Linked DNA regions of Neurospora crassa OR74A. The protein of the gene in region 4 interacts with the protein of the main gene of each other region in a biochemical or structural test. Links are inferred from orthologs where the notes say so. Each region holds a gene or a part of one and is shown on either strand. Other genes may lie near its edges. The genes, in order: pex4, mus-8, NCU01225 and NCU04370.

The links.
Region 1: of the proteins of NCU04370 (region 4) and pex4, one has a biochemical effect on the other in vitro, tested with the Saccharomyces cerevisiae proteins (2 studies listed by BioGRID). The link is inferred for Neurospora crassa OR74A from reciprocal best matches to the Saccharomyces cerevisiae genes UBA1 and PEX4.
Region 2: of the proteins of NCU04370 (region 4) and mus-8, one has a biochemical effect on the other in vitro, tested with the Saccharomyces cerevisiae proteins (6 studies listed by BioGRID, with this or other methods). The link is inferred for Neurospora crassa OR74A from reciprocal best matches to the Saccharomyces cerevisiae genes UBA1 and RAD6.
Region 3: of the proteins of NCU04370 (region 4) and NCU01225, one has a biochemical effect on the other in vitro, tested with the Saccharomyces cerevisiae proteins (5 studies listed by BioGRID, with this or other methods). The link is inferred for Neurospora crassa OR74A from reciprocal best matches to the Saccharomyces cerevisiae genes UBA1 and UBC1.

Annotation. Positions count from the first base shown.
Region 1 is NC_026501.1:3,005,640-3,012,800, forward strand, and holds pex4 (ubiquitin conjugating enzyme), read right to left. Parts: upstream 4,165-7,161; 5' UTR 3,446-4,164; coding exon 3,277-3,445; intron 3,146-3,276; coding exon 2,826-3,145; 3' UTR 2,388-2,825; downstream 1-2,387. Other genes in the region: NCU02635 (mannan polymerase complexes MNN9 subunit), read left to right, coding at 412-1,512, 1,579-1,599; NCU02637 (hypothetical protein), read right to left, coding at 4,873-7,161. UniProt on the Saccharomyces cerevisiae protein: Catalyzes the covalent attachment of ubiquitin to other proteins. Essential for peroxisome biogenesis. Required for UBC4-independent ubiquitination of PEX5.
Region 2 is NC_026504.1:1,991,732-1,998,924, reverse strand, and holds mus-8 (mus-8), read right to left. Parts: upstream 3,518-7,193; 5' UTR 3,195-3,517; coding exon 3,153-3,194; intron 3,062-3,152; coding exon 2,997-3,061; intron 2,914-2,996; coding exon 2,689-2,913; intron 2,616-2,688; coding exon 2,492-2,615; 3' UTR 1,803-2,491; downstream 1-1,802. Other genes in the region: kin-1 (kinesin heavy chain), read right to left, coding at 1-36; NCU09732 (acetyl-CoA acetyltransferase), read left to right, coding at 4,788-4,937, 4,999-6,141; NCU16773 (hypothetical protein), read left to right, coding at 6,886-7,193. UniProt on the Saccharomyces cerevisiae protein: E2 ubiquitin-conjugating enzyme that accepts ubiquitin from the ubiquitin-activating enzyme E1 and transfers it to a E3 ubiquitin-protein ligase.
Region 3 is NC_026505.1:3,289,127-3,296,617, reverse strand, and holds NCU01225 (ubiquitin conjugating enzyme), read right to left. Parts: upstream 4,210-7,491; 5' UTR 3,516-4,209; coding exon 3,255-3,515; intron 3,159-3,254; coding exon 2,887-3,158; intron 2,746-2,886; coding exon 2,571-2,745; 3' UTR 2,157-2,570; downstream 1-2,156. Other genes in the region: tca-8 (succinyl-CoA ligase alpha-chain), read left to right, coding at 195-361, 585-613, 744-870, 931-1,019, 1,102-1,691; rpt-2 (26S protease regulatory subunit 4), read left to right, coding at 4,671-4,673, 4,740-4,799, 4,914-5,723, 5,781-6,287; NCU01223 (hypothetical protein), read right to left, coding at 6,711-7,061, 7,164-7,295.
Region 4 is NC_026504.1:3,602,812-3,610,523, reverse strand, and holds NCU04370 (ubiquitin-activating enzyme E1 1), read right to left. Parts: upstream 4,918-7,712; 5' UTR 4,548-4,917; coding exon 4,542-4,547; intron 4,433-4,541; coding exon 4,053-4,432; intron 3,988-4,052; coding exon 2,001-3,987; intron 1,947-2,000; coding exon 1,212-1,946; 3' UTR 850-1,211; downstream 1-849. Other genes in the region: NCU04369 (hypothetical protein), read left to right, coding at 1-72; peptidyl-prolyl cis-trans isomerase fkr-3, read right to left, coding at 5,786-5,813, 5,920-5,961, 6,113-6,133, 6,202-6,262, 6,341-6,405, 6,489-6,613.

The DNA.
Region 1 (7,161 bases), on a different chromosome or scaffold from region 4:
TCCCCATTTCTGGCCACTGCATTTGCGGTTTGCGCCTTGTCTTCTTTCCAGAAGCCCAATTTTTCCTCGTCCCCTAAATTCCCCCATCCCGCTCGAGTTGCCAATGCCCCTGGCCGCCCCTCGACCCCGACTCGATTGAGTGGCCGACTAAAAAAGTGTCCAGGACAACACCGACACCGGCTTCGACAACCTTCATTTGGCCGACGAATATATACGCGTAGCTCCCATTATCGCGTAGGAAGCTAGGAGCAAGAGCGCTACAAACAGTGCTATAGCATTGTCTTTTATCCCCACAACCGAAAGAGACCACGGCCATACACAAGAAGCCAACCACGGACGACGGGAACGCGCGCGCCTTCGAACCCAGACGACTATATGATTACTTCTCTTTGATAGATCCTCCAACATCCCATGGCGCGTCCATTGGGGCCGGTTCGTCTTAAGAGGACGAGCCCGGGAACGATCGCTGTTGGCATCGTCCTCGTAATCGTCATCCTCTACCTTCTAGTATCCCCCTCAGCTCCCGACTTCTCTGCCGCTCGCAAGGCCACAGCCGCGTTGCATCCTCTCTCTCCGCCGACATCACCATTCCGCAAGTCAAGCGCTGTCGGCGGCAAAGCAGGTCCTCCACCAGTAACACGCTACAACCTCAACAATGTCACCATTACAAACGACCCCGTTGGCAACCGCGAGAACGTCCTTGTCCTTACGCCCATGGCCCGCTTCTACCAGGAGTACTGGGATAACCTGTTGAAGCTCTCGTATCCCCACGAGCTAATCACACTGGGCTTTATTCTACCCAAGACCAAGGAGGGTAACGCGGCCACCATTGAGCTCCAGAAGCAGATCGCAAAGATCCAGAAGCATGGACTCGAGAAGGAGAGGTTTAAGAGCATCATCATCCTACGACAAGACTTTGACCCGCCCATCCCGTCCCAGGATGAGAGCGAGCGCCACAAGATGGCAAATCAGAAGGCACGCCGGGCTGCCATGGCCAAAGCCCGCAACTCGCTCCTCTTTACGACTCTCGGGCCCGACACATCGTGGGTGTTGTGGTTGGACGCCGACATCATCGAGACACCTCCTACTCTCATACAGGATCTTGCCAGCCATAGCAAGCCGCTCACGGTGCCCAACTGCTTCCAGCGGTTTTACAACGCGGAAAAGAAGGCCATGGACGAGCGGCCCTATGACTTCAACAACTGGCAGGACAGCCCGACCGCGCAAGAGCTGGCTTCTAAGATGGGCAAGGACGACATTCTCCTCGAAGGTTACGCCGACATGGCAACCTACCGGGCCCTGATGGCTTACATGTATGAGGCGGGTGCGGATATACACACCGAAGTGCCTTTGGATGGTGTAGGAGGTACGGCGTTGCTGGTGAAGGCCGAGGTGCACCGTGACGGAGCCATGTTCCCCGCGTTCCCCTTTTACCACTTGATCGAGACGGAGGGCTTTGCCAAAATGGCCAAAAGACTGGGCTGGCAAGCAACTGGTTTGCCCAATTACAAGGTGCGTCTTGTGTGTGCTGTGCGCCATGTCAAGGTGGGATACGTCGGACTAACACTGAAACATTAGGTTTATCACTACAACGAGTGAAACATTTGCCGGTATCGAGTTTTACACCGCGTATCCTAAGCCGCCACTGGACGCAATAACAGTCTCTCTTTGACGATGACAGCGTAGTGTCTGGGCCTTCAGAGATGACTACTCAACCTTTGTCCTATTCCTCATTCGTCCTCGAGCTGCCTAAGGCCATAGGCAAGAGTCTGGCTAGTAACAGTGGAATTTTCTGCCTTGGAGATGTTCAATTTCACAGCATCCAGAGTTGCTAGGCCCAGCAACTGTGGCGTTCTTCTAAGTTCTTGTAAATTTTTTGATGAGTTCTGGGTTATGGGAAGGAATGTGGGAAGCGAAAAGTGCACAGCTGGAGGGCGCGGTTCAAATACACGTCTGATGTGTGATGTGCCAGACGCAACCTTGTGTGATGATCAAGGTTGTCTGCTCGTTGTCGAGAGAAGAGCTCTTTGCTAACTCCAAAAGCTCTGAGCGACCGGGGCAAGGAATCTTATAACAAACCTTATCTGGTCAAGTTTCCAAAGACATAGGGTACAGCGACGACTTCTGACGATATATACTAGACTATGGGCGAGGAAACATAGGGGACTTTTGAAGTTCATCTTTCCTAAACTAATAGCATAATGAAAAGTAAGGGGTTGCGGTTAGGTTCCTTGCTGGCATCAAGTACAGGTTGGTATATCGCTCTGTTCTGTTCTTTTGTGACTAACAACCGTAGCCATTTTCTAATACAGTAAGCATAGACCATCTCCGATGATTTGGAGCGATGTCTCTTTCTTTTGTATATACATAGTAAGGAACCATGACCAGTCACTGCACAAGTGTCCAGTTGTTGTGCATCTCTACAAGTTCATACATGGCAGCAACGTGGCTGTGGCGAGTACCAATACCACTTGCCCCTGATATCTAAGCGTATATCTCAGGAATGATCTATACCAAGCCCACAGGCGTTGGCTGGCATGTTGGAAGATTCGCTACAACAGCAACATAAGGTCTGGAAACATGAAATATCATCTGTTGCCTGGAGGGAGCAGAGCCACATGACATACTCATAAGCGCTCTTCGTATGTAAGAGGCTTCCACAGCCCGCTTGAGCTACTAGCCAAAATAAATCCAATGGTCTATTTCCCATCCCACGGCTATCCAATCCAGCCCCCCCCCCCCCCCCCTATACCCTTTCTTTACATTCTCCCCTCCATCCATCCCGTACATTCTACACCTCTATCCCTGCCCTCTGCCCAACTCTTTCAAGACCCCTCATACCTCTCTTCCTCAACCCACAACTCCACCAGCCCTCTCGCCGCCACATGATCCCCTTGCCTTATAAGCGCCGCGACATCCACATTAAGCGGACTGTCAATGCCTGGACAGCTCAACAACAGCCTGATGGCTCTCACGCACTCCAAAACGCTGTAAGCGGGCGTCCATGCTTCTTTGAGCAAGTCCAGACAGATCTCCCCCGTGGTAAGGGCTACGTTGGCGTGCACGATGGGGGTGATGAATTTGATGGTTGGTGGGTGGAGGGGGTAGGTCGGTGGGAGGGTTATGTGGAGGAGCCAGCGGCCTTCTGGAGATTTGTGTGTGTTATCGTTAACAATGGAGGCTCTTTTGGGAGAAGGGGCGAGGTAAACATGAAAAGGGAAAGGGGGATGGATAAGAGGGAGGGAGGGGAAAAAAAACCAAAGATAAGAGACATACCATCATAACCACCACCTACCCCCTTCCCGTTAATCACGGCCTCCCAAATCAACAACTCATCGTCGTTGATGGGACCTAACCGCTCGACGCCCTTCTCTTCTTTGGACTCGATGTTGCTCCAGGTCGTGAGCTCTTTGATTAGGCGCTTGGCTGCGCTGCGGTTAGACATTGTTTATATATATGTGTACGTCTGTGTATGCGTGTATCCTTGTCTGTGGTGTATGTAACGTATACTCCGGTTTGTTTGTTCTGTAGCGCTTTGTATGATAGTTGAGTGTCCTCTCAATTTGGTAGGGATAATTATTCTTCCTTGTTCAGCGTTTCCAACGGAGCTGCCCGATGGTGCCTTGATGTGATTCCGACTCGTTTATCCAAGAGCAAGACAGACACGAACGAACGAGATTAGTCAAGCTTCGTCAATGCTATCCGTAAGGTCGAGTCTTCAGTTGCGCCAGCGCCAGTGCTAGTGGTCGGTCGTTCGGTACTCGGTAGTACGCTATGAAAGTATAAATGATCCACAGAGGTAAACCCGCGTTTGAAACTGAGAGCAGGTCGACGAGAAACGAGGGAGCCCTTTGGGGAATAGACTTGCGTATCCTCGTTTGGAAATCGTGTCCGTGAAGTGGATGGTTCTCGCACCGCAGTTGCCGACTGTGGTGTCGTCGCTAAATCGGTATAGCTCTGTCCGTGTGTAAAGCGACTCTTGGTGCACGGTCCTCGATGATCGATCTGTAACGGGTGGGCGAACCGTGATCAATACCACTCAGTGTAGCTGGATCTCGTAAAAGAGCGTATCGTCGGTCGTGTAGGGCTCAGGTATTGTTTGTTGATGTCAAGGTGTCCAAAGTGCTGTGCCCACAGAGGTGCTGCTGCTGCTGCTGCTGCCACCGCAGTGCGGTTGATCGGGGTACCCCTGACGGGCCAGCTGCGCATCGGCGTTTCCGGCGGCTGCATCTACCGCTACGTGGCTCCGTAGATGCGGATCCCTAGTGGTTGAAACCCGTTTGGCGGCGTCACTACGGCGCGCTGAAACTCAAGAACCCTTTGTGTCGCTGAAGCCGAGGCTGAAGTGCCGTTATTCGTTTTCTGGGACGGCAATCCATATTACCCCAATGGAATGGACAAGACCACACAGACAGAAAGGCACCGACATAAACAATAGCAACGTTTTAAGCGCATGGTATCATGGTTTGAATTGCCTAATAATCGTGTTGCGTTTGAAGCTCACCTGATCAAAACCTTCCACCCTAAGTCGATCGTAGACATTTGCAATGATATGTCCATAGAATCACAAAAAGATTTGTCATCGTCCACCTTTGAATCATATGTCCCTTAACCACATCATTCCTCGAGAAATCAACATCTCGTCCCCTAGACAAATTTCTGGTGTGACCGAGATTGCTATTGCTGCTCCCCTTCGTCTCGTGTTATCTTGTCCTTCGTGCTATCGTCAAAAAGAAAAACGCCCTATCCGTCAAGTCGAAAAGCCCTCCAATAAATCTCATCTAGATCCCCAAAATTCCGTACTTAGCGCCACATTAAAACAGAAGAGCCTTGACACCCATGCTCCTAGCTAGTTTCGTCTGAAAAATATCGTTAAGCCTCGCAATTTTCCTTTGATTTCCAGAACTGTACAAACCGGCCGAGCCGCTTGGTCTTGCTGGGTTTGACCTTCTTCTCTGATCCGTCATCAGTCGCCGTAACCTCCATCGAGAGCTTGCTGCGCTCACCATGCGAGCTGCTAACAAGACGGCTAAGGCTAGCAAGACTCGATCGCCTTCGACCAAAGGCAGAGGCACTGAACGAGGCAGGCCTAGGCAGCGTGTTGGAGGATAGCTGCCTAGCCTGAGGGTTTTGCGCAAAGAAGCTCTCACGAGTCATTGACGAGTCGCCGCTGGTCAATGATGGGACATCATCCACCGAGATCCGTACCTCTGGTCCGGGTTCGCCCATAAGCAGTGACTGGAAATTGTCCTCAGTGATGGATGAAGGTGCCGTCGAAATGCGATGGGCGTCGTAGGATAAGGGAGACCTGGGAGACGGGAAGGCTGATGACGGGGTCATCGAGTGAGGACTGACTGGTGCGCATGACACAGCAGCAGGCAAGGTCAACGGACTGCAGTCAACTACAGCAAGGTCCTTGGGACGGAAGGTCTGCCTGGGCGAAGGAGTCGCAGAACCCGAGAAGCTATGTCTAGCCTGTAGCTCATTCTGGTATCCGCTGAAGCTAGGACGGGGAGAATCAGTGACGGATGTCTCATGTCGAAACGCATCCTGAGACCGCCTGCCCAGAGACCCTGTATGGATTGAAGACTTCACGGAGGCGTTGCCATCCTCGTCGGTTTCTACTCCTGGAGGTACAGCAACAGATTCGGTTGCCGTTTCCCGTTGTTCATCAGCAGTGGACTTCGCGACATCCTTATCCTTCGCAGAAGCTTTCGACTCCTCAAAAGTATCGGCCAGGGACGTCTCCATAACAGGGGTTGACTGTCCAGTAGATTTGGGCGACTCATCCTCGTCTTCCTCTTCGTCCTCCTCAAAGACATCAGCCATGGTCGAGCTGCTCCCGAACCGAGGGAAGCCGAAACGACCACCTTCGAAAGGTACCAATTCGGGTGCACTCTCAGCCCGTCTGTGATAATGCATTCCAGGGCCAGTAAAGCCCCTCAAACCCGCAGCGCTGTGCAATTGTTTTTTTACAGTACCTCCCGCTCTCTGGGCCGCCTCCCACTCTGGGTTGCGAGGGAGGGGCGTATTGAACGGTCCCAATGCTGCGTCCAAATCAATCATTTGATATGACGTCTCTTCGTCAGGAAGGGATGCAGGCTTGTATGAATCCCAGTCCTTCGCAGTGGGGTCGATTGATTCCGTCACCAGAACTGTAGGCATAACTGCCTCCGGTTCAAAGAGCACGTCAACAGCTGATTCATTCACACTATAGGAACGCCGAGAAGTAGACGTAGGGGTTCGCTTCAATCCCTTGCCGTGTCGCGATTTTTTGCTTTGCTTCCGAGACAAAATGGACCCGGCCCACGTCTTGACCTTCTTCTTTTTCTTGCTTCTCTTCTTCGTGAGTGGCTTCATCTCCGCCAGCTCTTCAGGAAATCCCTGGGGCGAATGACCGGGAAAGCGCTGCGGAGTGGCCTTTACTGATGTCGACAGCTTGGGCGATTCCGAAGGCCTAGTAGGAGATGAAGCTGAGGAGCTATCCTTGCCGAAGAAAGACCACTTTTTGGAGGACTTGATAGGGCTGGGAGTCGCCGACGTATATGCTGAAGGCGGCGAAATCGAACCTAGAAGGGGAATGGAACCACGGCGTCTCGGTGAAACTATCTCCTGGGCCTGCTCCTGGCCTGTCTCGGTCCGTTCAAGAACGGCTCCAGCAGTACTTGGTCGGTCATTGAGCTCGGGCGACGAATTAAATGCCATGGTGTTCAAGCCCAGCTCCACGTTTGTGATGGAGATGACGGACGAAATACTACCCGAAACGGAATGGCCAGGACGAGCGGTAACCGTGCTGGAGGTGTCGCTAGAAACAAGTGAAACAGGTCTCGGAATGTATTCGAGAGTATCAGAGAAACCAACCCTTGTACGGACGGCTGGCTTCGGGGATTCCTGGGCTTCCGTGAGTGCTACCGGCTCCTGGGCGGGTGGTGTCGATACCTCTGGGGCAACTGATTCCGGAACCTCGGAAACAGCCATGGTTGTTGTTGTCGTCTCAGGCTGCGATTTCTCATCACTGACCAGTGAGAGTTCCTTGGGAGGATCAACAGGCGCTAGGTTAGCCGGGGGACTGTCCTTCTTGACTTCTCTGGCGGTAGGAGGGATAATGATAGAAGACAAGTCGTGGCTTGAAATTGCGGCAGATCTCCGGTGAGCATGACC
Region 2 (7,193 bases), about 1.6 Mb from region 4:
AGCCACGACCTTGATACTATTCGCACTTGACGACATTATGGCGATTCCCTTGCAGCGCTGGGTAGCGCACTGTCATGAAAGGCGGCGCGGCCGATGTTGTCGGGGAGGATGGGTGGTGGAGTGAGGGGGAGAGAGGGGGGGGGAGAGGGGAGATGGACAAGGAGCCCGGCCGCCTGCAGCAGAGAGATAGAGAAGCAGGGTCTCGGTCAGTCGGGGTCCAGGTGTCTCTCCGAGTTGGATCCGGATATCACAAAAGGTGACGAGTTCCGGTTAGGCGCGTGTTCTCGTCGTCGTTTCCCTCCTCCGCGGTCCGTCGTGAGCGGTGGTTGTGGTGTGGTGCAGTTGCGGTGCGGTTCGCGGCTGCGGGTGCGGTGTGAAGAAGGGCAAAAGGTGAAGGTGGGCTTCAATGTGACACACTACTCGCCCGCCGAGGCACGTTGGCGTTTCGTTAGGTAACTGAACCCCTTTGGGCCGCAGCGATGGAAGAAGACAGCAAACCTAAAGCTACCTATGCAGAGCAAAGCAAAGCAAACCTTGAGGGCTAGGCGAAAAGGCGAACGTGTGCAGAATGTGCAAAAAGGGGCTGAAAGGGGTATCCGCAGCTACTGTCGCCGCCGCCGTATGTTCTCGTCGAGATGGAAGGGCAGGAAGGGGTACTCATCACACGTGTGGTCGGTACCCAAGGCAATTTAAGGGTCTAGAAGAAACCGAACAAATGTCGAAACGCGATGAAGATAGTGGGGTCTTGTCGGTCAGTGCAGAGTCGCAGCCTGAGACGCAGTCTGAACGGTGCGCAGCCAAGGGCGGGAGGGGTCCTGAAAGCGAACCGCTGCCAGTCGTCGCCAGTGGACGACTCCCGTCGGTTGTGCCTGCTGCCCCTGTCCCTTTACCTAACAACCGGAGCGGGACGGCACTCGGGGCGGCTGGTGCTGCGAGGCGGACTGCGAGACCAGTACCTTTACTTACCTACCTCTACCTCTGCCTCTACCTCCGAGTGTAAGGTAAGTACCTGCCTGAAGATTGAATGCCCGTTCGGCCAATACTCTCGGGTGCCATGGAGGAGATATTTTCATCAATTGTAGAAATATTTCAAAGCTTCAAACAGGATTGGGGGAGGCTCCGCCCGAGGGTACCTACCTCTAGTGTACATGGAAAACCCCAATCTGAAACCCATTCCCTGAGGTAATTTGATCGCACGTTTCTAGCAGACTCAAGTGGCACAAGTATACAAGCCAGTATTCTTGGAGATGCCCGCCCCCTTTCCTGCTGTTCGAGTTGCCTATGGCCATTTCTTTGCTCTTTTGGGTAACTTGCAATCAATTTTCAAGATACCTCTCTACGTTGTCAATTCGAGCTTTCAAGAGGCTACCGCTCGCTGTAGGTAGAGGAGCCTAGCCAAGTTCAGCTACCCACAATATATAAACAACCTCACCCCTCATGCAGATCATACGCAAAGCGTCAGTCCTACAACATAAAATCGTACCTATGCAAGTTATGAGAAGTCTTCCAAAAGAGCCATGTAGAGCTGGGTAAGTCGGACCAGGACGTACCATACAGACTTGAGAACCTTGTTTCCAGATTGCAGGGTTAAAAGTGTTCGGAAGCCACGTACACTAATGCTCTCTGACGGCCGCCAAAAGCATCTGACAGCCCTTTAACCCTGCGTTTTCTGGGCATTTACGATAGAGGTAGTCAGCCTGTCTTTCACTCTCACAGGGACCCTTGCATCCAAGGTATGCCTGTTAACGTGAGCGTGTATTAAACAACGCCGCAGTTCGAAATGTGCACGCTAGACTTGACTCTCAGCCTTAGGTATAGGTGATATAAATCATGTGGATGTAAGGCACCAAGCGGGGTCATGTACACTTTCGTCAAAGAAACAGAGGAAAGCTGAGAAATGCAAGACTCTCTGGAAACTCGTACATCTAAGCCGGCCGACATAACATGGTGAGCTTTTTGCAATGAAAGACACTATGCCATCTCTTCATCTCTAAGACAAAAGAAAAGAACGCTATCTAGGGCTTTTTGGGGTGAGTTGAGGTATCCAGGGACTGCCCTCGCCAGATGTGCTTGTGTTGGTATGATACGAGCGCCTAAACTCCAAACCCGACAATCGCCCTAAAGAGTGAGAAAAACCAAGCACTCCCGCTCTCTCCATTGCAGACAAGCAGGCTGACTCTCAGCCATCAATAGGCGAGAGATGCGGATATTTGAAATACAACAAAAACGCCCCGAAAGAACGACGCCTCCCAAATGCAATGTAATATCACGACATCCGTTCCACCCTCACGCCCTAAAAGGCCAAACCGCCGGGTATCCTCGAATGTGGATCATCTCGCAACTCGTCGTCGGTCGACAACTGACTGTTGATATAGCCAAGAGATCTGTATCGAACAGCCCAGTGAGCAATATCAACACCGACTTGCAGCACCCAGATCAATCATTGGCTTTTTGCCATTGAGGGCCCCGTGGTGATAAATGTCGTCACTATTCAATCCTCCCAGCTCTTCTCAACAGTTTCCCGGACCCTCTTGTGGTATTCTTTGCGGTTGTCCTTGTATAGATTGGAGGCTTCGACGTTTGCAGGCGATCCTGTGTTCGGGTCATTGAGCAAACTAGTCAAGACAGTTTTGTCAGCATAATAACACAACGCAAAATGAACGTCAACAAGATATTATGCAGTCGTACCTCTGAATACTGGTAAGAACAGCCGCGACGTCGTACGTAGGACTCCAGCGGTTCTGAAGGATATCGAGACAAAGTTCGCCAGTGGCGTAAACATTGGGGTGGAACATCTCGCTGATGAACTTGACCGAAGGAGGCTTATTGGGATACTGCTCCTCAAAGTGCATCACCAGGCGGAAGGTGCCATCTTCGAAGGGCGTATCGGCGGGTCCGATGATCACGGCGTTCCTATATGGAGACTCATGTCAGTCATTGCCATGCCGGGGGTCGACCGCCCATAACGACACCGCAGCAAAGATCGTTCTCCTTACCATGTCATAACATTATCGGGTACGGGAGAGGCGGAAACACCAGCGGGAGGATCGGTTTGCATGCGCTGTCGAGGAACATGGTGAGTATATTGTGCTCATGGCGGCCAAGTCATCAAGCGGTGTGAACCCAACGGGGTGGCTCATGATGTCTCGCACCTTGAAGTCTCGCATGAGCCGGCGGCGGGCAGCGGTTGACATTTTGGCTTTGGTGATGGATGATGAAGTCGGCCCAGGCGTATGGAGAGAAAGCTACAAGGTTGATGGAGTACGTAGGATCGATGCGATACTTTGTTCGAAGTCGAGATGGGTTTCGTGGTTGGAATAGCGAAGAGACAATCAAACGAACTGATTTGAAGGGGCGGAGATGAATGACGGAAACCAGCAGAGCCAACAAGTGAACGCGCATTAACGACCGCTATCTTATCATACCCAACTGATTGCCCGGAGGGGGGCGTCACAAAGAAGCTAGGAGAACGCGCGCCGAGGGCAGGGGCAATGAACAGTGACTGCCCCGGTTGACAATTGCCGCCGGATTGTTAATAGCACTTTTCTGATTCTCGGCCAATTACACTTGGGTATGAAGCGACTGGTGGCTCGTGCGCGAGGTGACTGCCAGCTGATGGAATGGGATCACACAGTCACACACCTTCTCTCACGCCACCGCCGAATGGTTGTCCAGCCAAACATCTAACTAATCGAACTGACAAATGAATCCCAAGAAAACATCAGAAATTGTAGCATGACAGCCAATTGTTCGGGTTGAATCAGTGATTTGATCAAGCTGTCTCCTGTGGCATCCCCCGGCAGCTGCCCGAAAACACTTCAACGCCGCAATAGGATCGTTGCTTGGAACCAACGCAACATCTCAAACATATCGCGTTGGGAAGCTCGGCTTTTGTTCCCGCGTGTAAAGTGGTTCGCTTCTGCCCAACATCCAAAGACGCGCGCGGGATGGCAATTGCAGGGACAACCGCGACTGGGATAGATTGTTAAGTGATGCGAAACGACTCTTGAGCGTGCAGTGCCCTGGCCTTTTGATCCCTGATTTTATGCGGGCAGTATCCGGTACAGCTAGGTATGATGCCGGCGCTGGGCAACAGGAGGCTGCGGAAAGAGTGAATGAACTGCTTGGAGAGCATCCACCCCCGAATCGATCCGTTGACCGTTTCCCCTCCGCTACGGCTTCAACTCTGGCTCCATCTGATGTTTCTCCATCCGCCCGTGGGTACGGCACTCATGGGCTCATGACCCAAGCAGGGCATTCTTCAGTTGTTGTGGATGAGGAGCTTCCCCTGTCGGTCAGCGGCAGGCTCCACGGGAAACCCCGGATACCAAGCTTCTGTGTCCCTTGCGCCCGTTGGGGTCCCCGCGGAGGAACCACGGTGGCGGCCACTGTTTGGCGCTCAATTGGCGGGGTGAAGCATCGCTTTGGTGTGAATCCTCTCCACACATGTACCGTCACAAGCCGACCGGTGCCATCATGGCATCTGACAAGTTCCGAGGAAAAGAAAGCGGGAAGGAGAGGAAGAGACCACCTAGCTATCGCCTCCCCAACTGGTAGTTTTATTAATCATTTTTAAACAATAGAAGAAAGTCTTCCCTGTGATTCTGTCCCTACTCCCAATTATTTCCTGCTCCTGTTTTTGTGTTGCCTCTCCTGTTGTGCTGTTGTTCATTCCCCGTTCGGCCATCTTCCTTTCTTCCTTCTCGCCAGATTCCCCTCCGACATCTGCGCTGTGCAGTACCGCCCCTACGTCCTGTAACTCATCGTCACCAGCTTCCGACATCAGAATGGTTCTTAGCCACGCCAGGACAGCCGCTGGCTCGGCTTCGCGCACTTCCCGTGTCGCTTGCGCTCGTCTTTTTTCCACCCAGTCTGCTCTCCGCCAGCAGATTCAGGATGCCTACATTCTCAGTGGTGTGAGGACACCAACGGCCAAGGTAAAGCGCTCCGTAAAATCAGCCATTTCCACAACACAGCGCTTGTGCTAACGTCTGCCAGTTCAATGGCTCTTACACCACCGTTCCTGCTCCCAAGCTCGGTGCCGTTGCCATCAAGGAGGCCGTCAAGAGGTCGGGTATCCCCGTTGAGAAGATCACCGATGTCTACATGGGAAACGTCCTCCAGGGGTCTGTTGGCCAGGCACCTGCACGCCAGGCCGCTATCTTTGCTGGCCTTTCCCCCAACGTAGAGGCCATTACCATCAACAAGGTGTGCGCTTCCGGTCTCAAAGCTGTTGTGTTCGCGGCGCAAAACATCCAGCTTGGCCTAGCGGAGGCCCAGGTCGCTGGTGGTATGGAGAACATGACAAGGACGCCGTACTACGTTCCACGCGCTAGCGGCATGCCCCCCTTCGGTCACATCAAGATGGAGGATGGCATTATCAAGGATGGGCTGACCGACGTCTACAACGAGTTCCACATGGGCAACTGCGCCGAGAACACTGCCAAGAAGTTCCAAATCTCTCGTGAACAGCAGGACGAGTATGCCATCCAGTCGTACAAGCGCGCCCAGGAGGCTTGGGCTTCCGGGAAGTTTGCTGAGGAAGTTGTCCCGGTCACCGTTCCGGGCAAGAAGGGTGACAAGATCATCGAGGTGGATGAAGGCTACAACGACATCAAGCTGGACAAAGTTGCCACCCTCAAGCCTGCCTTCGTCCGCGATGGCACCGGTACCGTGACGGCCGCCAACGCCTCCACCCTCAACGATGGCGCCAGTGCTTTGGTTCTCGGCAATAAGTCGCTCGCGCAAGAGTTCGGCAAGGGCTCAAGGGTCCTTGCCCGTATCGTCAGTTCAGCTGATGCCGCTATGGATCCCATCGACTTCCCTATTGCGCCCTCTAAAGCGGTTGAGCTTGCCCTTAAGCGTGCCGGCATTAGCAAGGACCAGGTTGCCATTTGGGAGTTTAACGAGGCCTTCGCCGCGGTCATCAAGGCCAACGAGAAGATTCTGGGTCTCGAAGGCGCTGTGGTGAACCCTCTTGGTGGCGCCATTGCCCTTGGCCACCCCTTGGGTAGCTCTGGATCCCGCATTCTCGTTACCTTGCTTCATCAACTCCAGCCTGGCCAGTACGGTGTAGCTGCTATTTGCAATGGTGGAGGTGCGGCCACTGCGATGGTCGTCCAGAGGATCGAGTCGGTATAACCGGGAACATTGTGGAGTTGCGGATGGGTATTTGATGAATTTTTGTATAAGGATGAAGATTTGCAAAGCTTTGGAGTTGGTTGGGCTTTCTTTCATGTACAAATGGTATGATGCGCTGCCAGAAGCAGGGCCAGTCTGCACATAGTTACAGCTGCATCTTGTTGGGTCAAAGCGACAGAATGTATTTGAAGAAGTAAGGAAACTGCAGTGCCATGTTGTGAGCTTGATGATCTGGGTGATGCTGTAAATCCACAACTGAGCATATAAGTAAACGTGACCAAATTCAACTCGTGCAACAAAGATCCCAGGGTATTCACAGTTATAGCGTTCGGGTTAGGGTTTAAGCGTCCGGTCAGAAGACGAACGCGCCGCATTGAAATCAATGCAGCACAGTGCAAACACACTCACCTTAACTTCACCTTTGAGATCGCGCAGCTTCACCGAAACGGTCTGCACCTTTGTCTTCAGCAAATCAAACATCGAACAAGAACTACAACAAGTTATTTATTGCATCATTCGGCATTGTTACTCCAGCTCTAGCTTTTCCGCGACTCAAGTATCAAAATATTAGGTTACGACGATACATTACGACGCACCCCGCCATTCATCCTTCTACAAGATCACACTGACTTTCGCTCTTGGTGTGTGCCCTGGCGCGGCCGGGCCACGACCTTGGAGGAGGAAGCTGGGTTGAAAGACAACCTGACCGGTCACGAGCGCGTCATCTACAAAAATACCACAGCTATGAGCCTCATTGCGGAATTTCTGACCAGCATCCGCGGGTTCGTACAAACTCAAAATGGTGACGAGCTCCGCAACTGGCTGCTCGTCGAGCCGAATGTTGCCGCACATTATTATGAGCTTGGGCAACAACTAAGGTCAACTTGTCCCCCTAATTCTGACAATATCGAGAAGCTTGTTGAGAAGCATTTGCCAGAAGAAGATGACGTTCCAGAGGGACGAGGCTCGCCGTGGCCTGGCTTCAATTCGTTCATGGAGGAGTATTTGAAGTACTGGCGCGATGTAGACTTCAACGACATCGTCAAACTTTA
Region 3 (7,491 bases), on a different chromosome or scaffold from region 4:
CGAGCCGTCGACGTCCTGAATTTCTACGTGCGATCCCGTGCAAAACTGGAAACGAACAACAAAACCCCCCCTCAACGACATCATCGGCTCCATTGTTGGCTCTCTCGCCCATAATACTGCCCTCTCCCTCCCCTTTCCTCCGGCGCCCTCCTCATTCCCACACTATTCTTGCATTCTTGCCCACAGATTTCACAATGCAGGCTATCGCAAGGCAAACACGGCCCGCGGGCAAGCTCGTCCAGCAGCTGTCCAAGAGAGCCTACAGCTCCAACTCGTCCCCCTATGCGGCGACCATCAACAACCTGAAAATCAACGGCGACACCAAGGTTCTCTTCCAGGGATTCACGGGCAAGCAGGGAACGTGAGTTAGAGCTACCTCCCCTGCCCGAAATTCCCCGTTCCCCGTTTTCCCCATTGCGCCCTGCTTGTCGTGACTCGCGACGCCGATGACACGACTCGGGCGCATCTGGGGAATGCTCCACCTCCACCAACTGCCCATGATCACAAGCTTTCCAAGACCAGGACACCATTGGATGTGATTAATGCTGCGAATTTGACTTGGCTGACGATGGCTCATTGTACAGTTTCCACGCCCAGCAGGCCATCGAATATGGTAAACCACCACCCTCAACCACCCACCACTGCCACCATTCCCCTCGCTTATCTCCCGCTTATCGGTACCGATCTTGGGTCGCAAACTGTCGCAAACATGGAATTCTGACGCATTTCGCCCTCTGTTCTAGGCACCAATGTTGTTGGCGGCACCAACCCCAAGAAGGCTGGCCAAACACATCTTGATCGCCCCGTCTTCTCCAATGTGAGCGAGGCTGTCAAGGAGACCGGTGCTACTGCCACCGCCATTTTCGTCCCGTAAGCACTCTCCGAGATACCAGCCTTTGGGGGCCTTACTAATAGCAACATCGAAAATAGCCCCCCTCTCGCCGCTGCCGGTATCGAGGAGGCCCTCCAGGCCGAGATCCCCCTCGCCGTGTGCATTACCGAAGGCATTCCCCAGCATGGTCAGTACAATGGCTCACAAGGACGGCGCGCAAGCGGATGAAAGCGAATTTTGGAAACCAGTGATCTAACCGGGCGTTGCAGACATGGTTCGCATCACCTCTATGCTCAAGACTCAGTCCAAGACCCGTCTCGTCGGTCCCAACTGCCCTGGCATCATCGCCCCCGGTCAGTGCAAGATTGGCATCATGCCCGGTTTCATCCACAAGCGCGGCCGTATCGGTATCGTCAGCAGATCTGGCACCCTCACTTACGAGGCCGTCAACCAGACCACCCAGGCCGGCCTCGGTCAGTCTCTTGTCGTCGGTATCGGCGGTGACCCCTTCAGCGGTACCAACTTCATCGACTGTCTCAAGGTCTTCCTCGAGGACGGCGATACCGACGGTATCATCATGATCGGTGAGATTGGTGGTTCCGCCGAGGAGGAGGCTGCCGACTTCCTCAAGGAGTACAACACCAAGAACGGTGGCAAGCCCGTCGTCTCCTTCATCGCCGGTATCTCCGCTCCCCCCGGCCGTCGCATGGGTCACGCCGGTGCCATCGTCGCTGGCGGCAAGGGTGGTGCCGACTCCAAGATCAAGGCCCTCGAGGCCGCCGGTGTTGTTGTCGAGCGCTCGCCCGCCAGCCTCGGCAAGGCTCTCCGTGATGAGTTCGTCAGACGCGATTTGCTTTAAGAAAAGTTTGAAGGGGTTCATGTTTTAATCTTTCGAACATTTTCTTTTGTCTACTTTGAGGCGGACATATGAATAGTCGCAGCAGCCAGCCAACCAGCCATACAACCAAAACATCTTGTCCATGTCTCCTCTGTCTCTGCGCACGGGTAGTCTTGTATTTCTGGTTCGGCTTATCTGCCGACCTGGTCGGGGCCGAAGGCACAGTCAGAAGGAAGCAGGGAACGCGGAGCGTATTGCATTTGTGACTGTGTCTTGGGATGACAATTGAAGCCTGATAGAGACATTTGGCCATTGCTACTGGGAGTGGGGACTGGGCGTATACCGTGTGGTGCATTTATATCCCTTTCCGCATCTTGCGACGTTCTTGTTGATAGAGGTGAAACCAAGGAATGGGTGTGGGCGGTTAGGTATATTATACTTTCCATTTATTCACAACGTCACATAAACATGACTTACCGACCTGTCTTCGCCTATTGGCTTGAATGCGCCATACACTTTGTATAGATACGCTATCACTTTGCTAGCTACCATGTAAAGGAGGACGGAAACTCCGAGCAACGGGAAAGTGAGGAATCAGTAGTAGAAAGAAGCCAGAAATTCCATTGCTCCATTGACACCCTTGTCGTCCGTAAAACTCCATATCCGAATGCGGCTGATGTATAAACTAATAACAGACGAAGCCGCGCCATCCTACCACCGAATAAACCAGTCGAACGTCGGCCTCAGCTGCTGCGGTTTCCATCCTTCGCTTTACCTGTCCGCTTTTAAAGTCCATACCGTTCTGATTTCCATAATGCTGATCGGTAAAACCATACCACCACCTCATCACTATACATAGCCGTGTTTGTTGCTCTCATTGCCCGCCCTCACTCTCGAATGTCACTGCTCGCCGAGGAGCCGCGCAGTGATATCGCCCATGTATGCTTCCTCGAGTTCGTAATCGGCGCCTCCGTTCCGGTCAATACCCACAAATTTAAAAGCATCGACCACCTTTTCTACGTCGAATCCCATGTTGACAAAACGATCCACCAGGTCCTTGTTATATCCAGCATATCTGTGTTGGGTTCGCCAAGCAGGCTCTCAAGGTTAGTCGCCTCTGACTTTTATTCCGGGTTTCCAGTAATGCATTGTCCATATGGCTTTTGCTTAACACAAGGTGGTTCACTGCATCGGGATGGTCAGAAATGCCACGTACCTGCTAGCATCGTTCCTTGAACCTTCCTTTGCGGTCTCATCATACTTGAGAGGAATCTTGTCCACCCTGGGCGCGCCGGCATACTTGACGGCCCAGTCGTGTGCCGTTCGGGCGAACAGCTTGGGGTTTTCCATCAACATCTTGGCCACCTGGGCGTCCTGGGGATCCTTCGGGTTTGGCGATTCAAGAAGCATTCGTACGGCAAGCAGCGCTGTCTTAATCGTGCCGACCGGGGACCATGCTGTTCCCAGAATGTCGAGGCAGATGGCGCCCTGTAAAGACGTCGGAGGGTTAGTTGAGCTCTCCAAACTCCACCTACTTCCTAACATCCATCATAAAACAAGGGGACAAAAACGAGAGAAACGTACAGTGACACTGCTGACGTTGGGGTGCCAGATCTTGGTAATAAGATACATCGAGGGCGGCTTGAACGGGTACTTATCCGGAATCTGAATGTCGACCTCGTATGTACCCCCAGCATAGGGCGAGTCTGGAGGGCCGCTGAAGGAGCCCTTGAGGTGCGACAGATTGCTCGAGTCGAGAGGTTCGGCCATGACGCCCGAGGTCTCGCGGTCATTCCATATATCCTGCAATTCCTTCGCAACGCGGCGCTCACGAGTAGTCGCCATGGTCAAGTGATGGGGTGTTGGTGCAGAGGAAGGGAAGTGTATTGCGCCCAAATGGGAATGGGAGTGGGTACAGTATATGGTTTGCTGTTGGACGCAAATAAGATGGTAGGAAGTGGTGTTCAGCGAAATAAGTGAAGTATAACAACGGAGTACTGATAAGATTAACCTTGTGGAGGGGTCAAGGAGGCCCGTGAAATGATGTTGCAAGGTGAGACGGGAGGGTTTCTTCAGTGATGGAGGAGCTGGCAGTGGAACGAACGACAGGACGTTTTAGGTTTTCTTCCGCAACTGATCGAGGATTGGCGAACCGGGCCTGCTTAGGTACCGTAGGTTATTTGTGAATGCAAGGCTGAAAGAGCATTCGCTGACAAGGTGAGATGGTCGTCGTCACTTCCTGTCGAGGGAAAGGAAAGCAAAAAGGCAACTTCAAGAGTCAGGTGGGGAGCAGCGTCCGTAGAGGTACCCAAGAGTGCCAAGAGTCAAATGCTCACATAACCTAATTGGCGAGCGTGGTGTTCTTCCTAGTGTTTTGATCGCCTCAGCCACACCTTGCTTTATTTTTTAGTATAGTACGGGCAAGGTTGAGGACGAATGACCACTGTCGCCCTCCAATGTACACAAAGTTGCGACGGGATAGGATGGAAGCAGGAGGCTCTGGCTGGACTCGTCCCTGGGATGGTCCCCTCCCTTGCCAATGTCGTGGCCATGCGCTGTATGTATGGGAAAACAGTCCGTCATACGGTACAAGTACAAACTTAAAGCTGTGCAGCTTGTCCAGGTATGGTCAGTAGACAGATCGAATGCAAACGCACAGCAAGTGCTAGGAGCGCTCAAACGACATGCAAGGTGCTATTGCCCCCGGCAGCTTAGTAGTCTTGATGGTCTGTGCGTCAGGTGTACGACTGGACGACAGACGGATGAGGTGTGTCGCGTTCACTGGGGGCCTGAACTGGAGCTCGCCATCCCGTCGCAACTGAACCTCAAACGGGCATCCGCCAACAACGAACACCAGCACAACTTAATCGTTTCCATCACTGCCGCTGAGATCAACGAGTTCAGATCGTGCGGCACTTTTGCGACCCCATCATATAATTCTCAGCACCCCTTTGAGTCTTCCACCACACTTTCAAGAATCGCGAAAGGCGGACCGTCAACATGGTCAGTTGCCGCAATACGGAGCTGAGCTCAAGCTTGCAACGCATCGCATACTGACAAGCTGCGCAGGGTCAAAATCAGTCTGGCATGGGCGGAGGCCAGGACCCTTCAAAGTCCAAGAAAGATAAGGTAGGATGGCTTCAGTTGCGTCAAGGTTTCTGTTGTGCGCGGCATGCTTGCTGTCCTGTGAGACTCAGGCGCTGACATCATGGACATCGCTAACCACCATCGCCACCAAAACAGAAAGATAAGCCCAAGTACGAGCCGCCGCCGAAGCCTACCACCCGCATCGGTCGCAAGAAGAAGAGACAAGGCGGTGCCAGCGCTGCCGCCAAGCTCCCCTCAGTGTATCCGACAAGCCGATGCAAACTCCGACTCCTACGAATGCAACGAATCCACGATCATCTACTGCTCGAGGAAGAATATGTCGAAAATCAAGAACGTCTACGCAAGGCGAAGACCGCCAAGGACAGCAATGCTCCTGCGTCCGAGCTCGAGTCTTCCGACCGTATGGCTGACGAGCGCTCCCGTGTCGATGATATGCGTGGCAGCCCCATGGGTGTCGGTGTTCTCGAGGAGTTGATCGACGACGACCACGCCATCGTTTCCAGCACATCGGGGCCCGAGTACTACGTTAGCATCATGAGCTTTGTCGACAAAGACCTTCTGGAGCCCGGCGCCAGCGTCCTGCTACATCACAAGAGTGTCAGCATTGTTGGCGTGCTCACCGACGACACGGATCCGGCCGTCAGCGTCATGAAGCTTGACAAGGCGCCCACGGAGTCGTACGCGGATATTGGTGGCTTGGAACAGCAGATCCAGGAAGTTCGTGAATCAGTTGAGCTTCCATTGCTGCATCCGGAGCTCTACGAAGAAATGGGTATCAAGCCACCCAAGGGTGTCATTCTTTACGGTGCTCCCGGTACCGGTAAGACCCTCCTTGCCAAGGCTGTGGCAAACCAAACTTCGGCAACGTTCTTGCGCATCGTTGGTAGCGAGCTTATCCAAAAGTATCTTGGTGATGGTCCTCGACTGGTCCGCCAGCTTTTCCAGGTATGTAAAAGTGTTTCAAGCTACACTGTCAAATATATACTCTAACATGTTCCTCAGGTTGCCGCCGAGAATGCCCCTTCCATCGTGTTCATCGACGAAATCGATGCCATCGGTACCAAGCGTTACGACTCGACATCGGGCGGCGAACGTGAAATCCAGAGAACCATGTTGGAGCTGCTGAACCAGCTGGATGGTTTCGACGACCGTGGAGACGTCAAGGTCATCATGGCCACCAACAAGATCGAGTCGCTTGACCCTGCTTTAATCCGTCCTGGCCGTATCGACCGCAAGATTCTCTTCGAGAATCCCGACCAGAACACCAAGCGCAAGATCTTCACGCTCCACACCAGCAAGATGTCACTTAACGAGGATGTTGACCTGGAAGAGTTCATCGCCCAGAAGGACGATCTCTCAGGTGCCGACATCAAGGCCATCTGCTCTGAGGCCGGTCTCATGGCCCTCCGTGAGCGCAGAATGCGGGTGCAGATGGCAGACTTCAGAGCTGCTCGTGAAAGAGTTCTGCGCACCAAGCAGGAAGGCGAGCCCGAGGGCTTGTACTTGTAACATAACCGCATATTATCTGGCCTAATTTGCAAGACTTTTCAGATTTGGGCGGATTGCGACTGGGAATGGATTTGACAATTCAGCCTTGTGATGTCGATATCCAGCCATCACTAAGCGTACCTTAGTTTGAGTGAAGATGAAGGGATACCGTAGCGTTTTATCATGGAGAAAGAAGAAACTTTACGGTTGGCTCCTGTAAGGGTATGTTTTCCACGCCTTAAATTGTTGGTTCGTTGATACATTCATTGTGAAGTCCAGCTTCATGTCAGTTGTATCTACGCAAAACGTGAAGCCCACCACTGCCTCTCATCCTACTCATGTAAGCTTGACGCTGCACCTCCTACGTATGCTATCTCTCCCATTGTCACCAGGCGGCATCTAATCTATCCTTCTGCGTGTATCCTTCTCTCTATCTCTATACATTTAACCACCCTTTACTCTCCTGCTTGAACCATCATGGTCCCCATCACATATTCTCCTCCCCTGCTGATCAGCCGCACTCAAAGCCTCCACCAAGCCCATTACCCCCTCCGACCAAACCTTTTTACCATCCTTCGTATCTCGCCCTCGTTCCGGCCAAGGCACACCCCCTTTCGGAATCTCCTTCACCGTGATCCCCTTCCTCCCATAAAACTCCTCATTCGCACCCCCCTCGACACCACCACCACCGTCCCATCCATCGACTCCCCTGCATACAGCCCCCCTTGCTCCTGATATAACCGTACACCAACGGTTTACTATCACCATCATCCTTCTGTTTCTCTTCCCCTTGGTCTGAAATGGAAGAAGAGCGACCAGAACCACCAAGCACACCCTCTACCCCCGCCCCAGTTCCATCGGCCCAGCAACGATCCCTACGTTCCCACTGCGACTTACACGGGGGCGCTCAGCGAAAGCGCGCACACGGCCGAGGGGGTGCGTGAAACGCAGACGCAGTCCTAGATGTGGATGCCAGCGAGGAAGCCGGAGCCTAGGGAGTGGATTAGAAAGTCTCAGGGCGGGGACCATTTTTGACATTGGGGTTGGGAGCCGAATTGGGCGAGAGATGACGATGCCGGATTCAGAAGAGCCGGAAAGATGGAGGCCGGTGCGGGAAGGCGGTGATAACTTGCTAGGCCGGGATAGGTGGCTAGGACGCGAAGGAGGGGATGTGGATGTGGATAAGGGAGGTGCGAGAGGAGCCCTGATTAATGCAAAAAGATTG
Region 4 (7,712 bases):
GCAGTCAAATACAACGGGTGCGATACCGAGCTGAAGTGGCTGTATGTGCAAAGATGGGCAGCGAAGCAATAAGAGTAGCCGAGCTGATCTTAGCGTCGAGTCGAATACATCACACTTTTGGTACACTCTTTGATATCTCAGGCCGTCTCCAGTGGACTTTGCTTAAATCACAAGACATTTCCAATTCAAAGCATGCCAAATCGAGTCTTTTTCAGCTGTTTGCATTGGCAAGTGACATTTCATTGTCTTGTTACGACCTTTCCATATTAAGTAACCAAACAGGACTATCCACGTCGATGTATTTCTCCCTCTACTCACTCCCTCACATCACTTACCATGAAATGGGGTCCATTTCCCCGCATATGAATGGTAGGTAATTGATTATTCTTTTTGTTTATAGAAATATAGAAAAAAAAATACTAGGAAATAACTGTATTCGAGTGACCCACCACTATTAATGTCTTAACCATCCTAGAGAACTCAACCGGTTCAGGAAATTGACACAAGACGGTGGTAGACAAACACCTATAAACACGTAAGAGTCAAACCTTAGAGCCAAGAAGATGTGGAACAAAATGAAGGGGAGAGAGAGGCAATGGGTGAAATACCAAAAAAAAAAAAAAAAAAAAAAAAAAAAAGAAAAAGAAAGAAACAACATCTGGCGGCATTCGCTGGTTCTTTACCGACCTAACTGCTAGTCGAGTACGTCCACGTTGTTATGGTGTCTCCTAAGCCTGTCTTAATTACTTTGGGTGTGTGTTTGGTGTTTGCCTTGAACAGCAGTCAGATATCACGAGAAGAGAGACGGAGTCTTTTTGTCACGTAGTCATGTAGTACGTAACCATGTAGCGAGGTTGATATGTCAATTATGAGTATCTGAACGAGCCTTGGAGAACTTCTCACGTGGTACATAATGTAAGACTATATTGATACAAGTAGCTGTCCTCTCTTTTGTAAGACATGATTTAATCACTTTCCTGGGACTCTTACTTCAGCGTTTCTATCGTCATCACCTCATCCTCACCGGCACTAAGCCAGACTCCTTCTGCTTCGAATTCATGTACACCTAATGAAAAAGGATCATAAACCAAGAAGTAAAAAGTAACGTTCTATTGACTTGACTTTGACTGTATTTATTCATTCACCCAAAAAAACAGCTCATCTGATATCTACACCGTCTTCCACGCCAACCCTTTTATGCCAATCATCATCTACCTGATCCGCGCTTTGATATAAGGAACCTCCACATCCTCACCATCCGCATCCTCGGTCACCACCTCAAAGATCAACTCCTTCTGATGCGCCGGAATGGGCTTCTTGCTAATCGTCTCCACCAGCTCGCTGAGCTTGAGAGTATAGCGATCCTTGAGCTTGGCAGGCGGGAAGAACGAGGCATACAGCAAGCTGACCCCGGAACTCAACATGGAGATGGACAGACCGCGCTTCTCGAAATCGTCAATCAGCTCCTGCAGGGTAATGTCACCGACCTCGAAGCGGTCCCAGATCTTGTCGAGCGTGACCTTGCCATTGGGGCCGTTGTACTCGACCTTGGGGCTGGCGATGGGCTCGGAGAAGCCGAAGAAGGGCAGGGCCAGGTTGATGAAGCCGTTCTTGTACTGCTCAATGTCGGTCTTGCCGTCGATAATCTTGTACAGCTCGAGGACGACGAGGCCGGTAACCAGGGCCGTGGTGGTGGCGATGGCGGGAATGATCTTGCCGGCGATGAACTTGGTCTTGTGACGGTCGGCAGGCTCAATCTTGTAGTTCTCGGCGCGCAGGTTGCTGGCGGCCGTGATGAAGTCGATGTGATAGTTGGTGTCATCGTCCTTCTCAAACTCCACAACATTGAGCTTGAAGCCAGCAAGGGACTTGGGCTCGGGGAGCTGGGACTTGAGGTTGCCGAGCTCCGATTCGTCATCGAAGGCAGTGTTATCTGCGTTCGGGTCCTACTTTCAGTTAGCATCATCCCCAACACACAACTCGTTGTGGCAAATACTCACAGGTTCCTTCTCATCAGCCTGAATCTTGACATTCGAGTCAGGGGAGAAGTCAGGCACGATCATACCCTCCAAAGCCCGGAGGTAATCAGCCTTGCTCTTGCCCTTGGCATTGATACTATAGTTGAAGGCATGGAGGTTGGTAGCAGCCTCGAGGAAGCTAAAGTGGGTGGGGTTTTCAGGGTCGAACTTGAGCGGGTCAGGGGCGCGCTTGGGTCCGGACCAGAAGGGGGTACCGGTCGAGGACACGGAATCCTTGGGGAAGTTGTAAAGGAGCTGCTGAATAGCGTTGTTGTACTGCTTCTCGAAGAGCATGCGAGCCCATTGGACACAATCCTCAAAGGTGAGCGGGCGCTCGTGCTTTAGGAAGTCCGCCAACATCTCCAGCGTCGCCTTCTCGTTGCCACTCTGCTTCAGGGTAGTGTCGAGATAGTTTGGCTGGGTCAAGTAGAGGTTGACGGTCTCCGCAGGCTTGACAAATGAGCTCTCGAACAGCTCACGAGCCCAAGCAATGGTGTGCTCGATCTTGTTGGGGAAACTCCTGAGAGTGCACATGGGGAACGACTGCTCAGGAGGATCCTGGGAGGAAGAGTAGGACTCAGTGAGCCTAGGAAGCACCACTTGCGTGTTGCCCTTGGTGCCGAGGGTACCACTCTCAAGGAGAGGCTTGTGGAAGAAAACGCACCGTCTGTCGACATACGTTCTCGCCTCAACGTTGTCCAGCGCGTTAGTGACGCCATCCAAACCCTGCCAGAACTCCTCATTGAAGATCTCCTCGGTCTCGGGACTAACGCGATCCTTGAGAGAAACAATGTGGCCTTCGAGGTCAGGGTTCATAGCTTGCGCGGCCTTGGCCGCGCAGTCACTCTTCATCTGACCAACGTCCTTGGGACGGAACAAGAACTGTCTGTTCAAGTTGGACTTCTCGATCGAGTCCATATCGGTAACGGTAATCTTACCCTCAGGGCCTGTTCCGAGACCAATCATGGCCCAGTTCTTGAGCATCTCACAGCCAATGGCGCCAGCGCCAACAAGGAACTGCTTGACGTTCGAGATCTTCTCCTGAAACTCCTTACCAAAGACCGCAATCTGGCCGTCATACCTGCTACCAGTGGGCGCACAGAGTTCCTCGGTGCGCTTGGAGTTGGTGGGAAGAGCCTCGAGCGCATCGAAGTACATGAACTGCTTAATGGGGTGGAACTTGCCCGAAACAGCCTTGAGGACTTCCTGGGCAGTAAGGCCACCGAAGAAAGCGGCCATGGGGTTAAGGTCACCAGTAGCCTGGTAGCTGAGCTCCTTGAGAAGCTTGTCGTCGAACTCGACGTCAACACCCTGCTGCTTGGCAAACTCCTTAGCCGAGGCGATAACCACAAGCGCATCCTCGTCGTTCATCGGCCTTGGTAGACGTCCCTGAGACTTGGCGAAAGCGTGGAGAGCCTGGAATCCAATATGAAGCTGCTGAGGGCGATCGAACTTGGCGAAGTCGGAGATGACAAACTCGGGATCCTTGAGCGCGTTGGTAATGCTCTTGAACTCGATGGTCTTGGGCATTTTGACCTGCTGGTAGAGACCGCCCTTCTTGTACTGGCCAAGCCCCGACACGTCGCCGATAGAGAAGGTGTAGGGGCCCTTGACGGTGACCTTGCGGGGCTCGCAGCCGTTGAGTCCCTCCATACCCTCAACCTCCGAGAAGGTCACATAGTCGCCATCCTCAAGTCCATGCCTGGTCTCGTCAAGCGCAGAAACGAGACCCTCCTCGTCGATGCCAGCCACGATACCGTTAACGGGGTTTTCGCCGTTCGTGTCCATGACAGTAAAGTTATCGCCGAAATCACAGAAGATGCCGCCAAAGAGACCGTGTGTGTTGACAGCAATAAAGTAGATGCCCTTGGAGTGGCAGTATTCGCCGACAATAGTCTGGAGATCGGTGTGCTGGTTCGTAAGGACGACGACTTGGTACTTGTCAAACTGCGACAGGTTATCGGCGAGACTGTACAGAGGCCACGGTTAGCTACCGAACCTGTCAAGCTCACTCCCGTCCGGTTCATAACCTACCTTGGCGACTGGTGGATGTGAACGGGGGTATAAGCATTGAGCTCAGCAACGCGGGGAGCGGTGACCTGGTCGCGAGGCTTGCCGACATCCTCAGGGCGGAGGAAGAACTGGGCGGAGAGGTCGGCCCAGGCGGCGGGCTCGGGGTCGTGGAGGGTGAGGCTCTTGACGCCAGCAAGGGCCACGTTCTTGGCGATCTCGACGCCGAGGCCCTTGAGGCCGACGATGAGGACGTTGGAAGCGCTCATGCGCTTCATGGCCTCGTGGCCCAAGACATAGAGCTGGCGACTGTAGAGGGACTCATCAATCTCGGCCGTGGTGCCGGCTACTGATTCGTCGACTTGCATCCTGGTGACAAGGTCGACCTCGTTTTTCTGAGTGTCCTGGGAGATGGGCATCACGAAAGTGTCAGACTGACTGGCGCTAGCTACCAGGAACAAGCATCTGCCATCCCAAGTAGGATTCATGTAGACAAACGGGGTTTCAACTCACTGTCATGGTTCTCTTTAGAGAGATGGGTAGGTCCCCTTCGGATACTTTGCGCTTCCCCAGCTTGGCGACTGTTGATTACGGGCGGGCCGGTAGATTATAGATGGTGGAAAGTTCGTGACGCAAACAGAGCAAAAACAAGAACGAGAACTGAACCTAAAGTTGTTGATTCGCAGTGGTCGGGTATTGTGATACTTCAAGTTGGCGATGTTGGTCCAAAGAAAACGCCGATGTTGTAGTTGAATGACTCGGGAAAACAGACGACGGATCAAGCGCAAGTGCTACTATGTCGTACTATGTCAAGGTGCAAGTGCAAGTGCAAGTGCAAGTGGAAGTGGAAGCTGTCTGTAATCTGGAAGGTCGGGCGGCGGGGATGTCGAGGGAGGTTCGGTCAGCCCCGCCACCAGCTGTCAAGCATCAAGGAGAACTGCGGGGAATGGTGATGTGATGCACTGTCCGTCGTTGGCCAAGCACCTACCGCTGCAGCGTGCAGGTCGCTGTACTGCTGTTAGTGCAGTGTGCTGTAGCCTTCACCGTATGCGGCCTCGCACCTATTACTAGGTTGTACGTCTGGAAGTGGCTATGCTAGCTATGTACCTCTAGGTACCTCTACCTCGACCCAACCTCGTTTCACACTGGCTGTGCCCTGTCTCCTATCTGATCGGATAAACCTTGACTCAGAGTCTCATTGATGCTGAAGGGAAGCCAATATGTATTGTGGTTCACGCGCGCATGAACCTGGAAGGAACCGTGAGGACAGCAATAGAAGGATCGAATCATTACTAACACCCCTGGCAGTAGACGGTACGAGGCGGTCATGCACTAGAGGTACTTGCCCGATGTACCGATGGCGGTAAAACGTACTTGGTACAGTAAGCAAGGACCAGCCACTCAGCCCATCCGGCAGGCAACTTGTGCTCTCTTATCGTAGTGAGCCAATCACATTCAATGAGGCGCTTGTAGGTACTTCTCCATATTAACATAGCTGCGCGGGTACTTCAACCTTCCCTGTATCGCTTCAACCTCCCGTCATTCAATTAATTCCTCGTCTTTACCCATCAAGGTTCCTCGCAACGTAAACACCAACCATCTGTGTTTTCGTCATCGCCATCACCGACATAAAATCTATCTTCCCAAAAGAACTTCAAGTTCCAGTGGTTTCTTGCCCAGCGGTCCCTACTTTGGCTCGTTGGAGGCGTTGAACTAAGGACCTCGTCTCCTTTTCCCGAGATCAGTGAACCGCCCAGCTACTGGAGACCCTTGAGATATACGTCACTATCACATATTAGCTCGTATCCTTGCTGACGCTATCTTGCCCGCCGCTACCTTGACTGTAGAGACAAGCTGGAGCAAGATATGTGGCATACAGGAGACAACTCACAAGATCAAATCTGCGTTCGGAGGAATGTGGCCGTGAAAACCCCTGGTGTGCAATAAGTCGGGTCAGCACATGGGCATTAACTCCAAATCAGCACGGCCAGAAGTATCGTGTCTGCGGGTGGTGTTACACCATATAGACTGATTTTTTTGGATTTTCAGAAGAAAGAAAAAAAAAAGGCCTGCAGGTTACTCACCGCTCTCCGTATCCGTAATCACTAAAACATATTGTCTCGTCAGTATCAATTTCTTCCCCTGACACATCGTTCACTCACGAATAACTCACCTAGAAATATCCAAAGTGGCTTTCTCGCCAACCTTCATTTTCAATACAGCCTCATCCCATCCTATGCCCGTCACAAAAGCAGCACGTCAGCATAAAGTCTCCGATATATGAAAAAAGTGGACCGATGGTGGGCATATACCTCTGATGAGTCTCCCAACCCCGATTTGCGTGACAAAATCCCCACGACCGATCGAGCTGTCGAATCTGGATATAGTGTTATCAAAACTGACCAACAACCGGAGACGTGTGTGGTAAGGCAAGATTTTTCAATGGGGAAAAGAACATACTCGGCTCCCTTTCCATCGGCCTGGCTCGAGTCCTTCAGCCAACCAGTATACTCGATAACCACGGTCTGGCCAGCTTCTGGTTGTGGCCCGGTACCCGCAACGTGAGTGATTTTGTTGACACCCATTGTGTTGTTCTTGCTGGCAGTTTGTTTGTTTGTTTGTTTGTTTGTTTCCTTGCTTGCTTGCTTGCTTGCTTGTTGTCTGTGTCCCGAAAACAAGTGAATGGCCGAACAGGAGATATCTCTTGACGTATGTCGTCCGTTCTGGTCCTTAGTTTATATACCCAGCTCTTCGACCGATATCCCCTTTCTCCGATCTCCGACTTTTGGCGTTTATTTCTTTCCAACTCGTCCACTTACCTTACTCGAACCTAATCACAAGTCTCCGATATCCGATCACAACCTAACCTTTCTCCAGATATCGGTATTACTGTTCGATATATATTGTCGATCTCCGATCGTCTTCCCCAATTTTCACTAGCTCACTACTAGTGAATGATCGACTTCTCGGCCGACCTTGACCCTAGTTTGGTCCACACTGCTGAAGAACGACCGGGTGACTGACATCAATTTTCCTAGCCAAGCGTGGACAAGGGATGCTTCGTGTGCTGGAAAAGGGGTGCGAATAAGAAAGCTAGCGTGGTGTGATGAGTCTCCGAGACGAGAGGGATCGATGAGCAGATGTGAAAAAGGTTTGTCAGCGCTGAGGTAAATCGGGGGCTTGGCCGTTAACCAAACACCACGCGGAACTTCCTGATGTTTTTCCAACCGAACCGTGAGAGACTTCCTTAATGTGACGTGACTTGGGCATCTGAACCAGATCTCGATCGCGTGGGGTCTTCCAAGGGCGGATCCGTTCTCTTCTGGAGCCTAAGCAGCGTTCCCTAAAGTAGCCGAGTCAAGGGTAACCTTCCAAGTCGACAAACTATTGGGACCGGGGACCTCAGGTGACAAATCCAACGGCGTGACTTAGTAACCCTGCGAGGCAGATCCGGCACCTAGTGAGGTAAGGCAAGGACCCAGCACAACGGTAGCAATGCCTGGAAGCTTGTGATATCGACTGTGATGGCAAGCAGCACCGAGTCTAAGGAGTGGTGGAGATGAGCCAGGACGACGTCACGTTTTTTTCTTTTCTTCTTCCTCTCGCTAGGCCGGAAGGAGTCTAATTTCAAGAGAATGACCCCCAATTAGAGAGAATGAAGAAAACAACCGAGCAGAAGCTGAC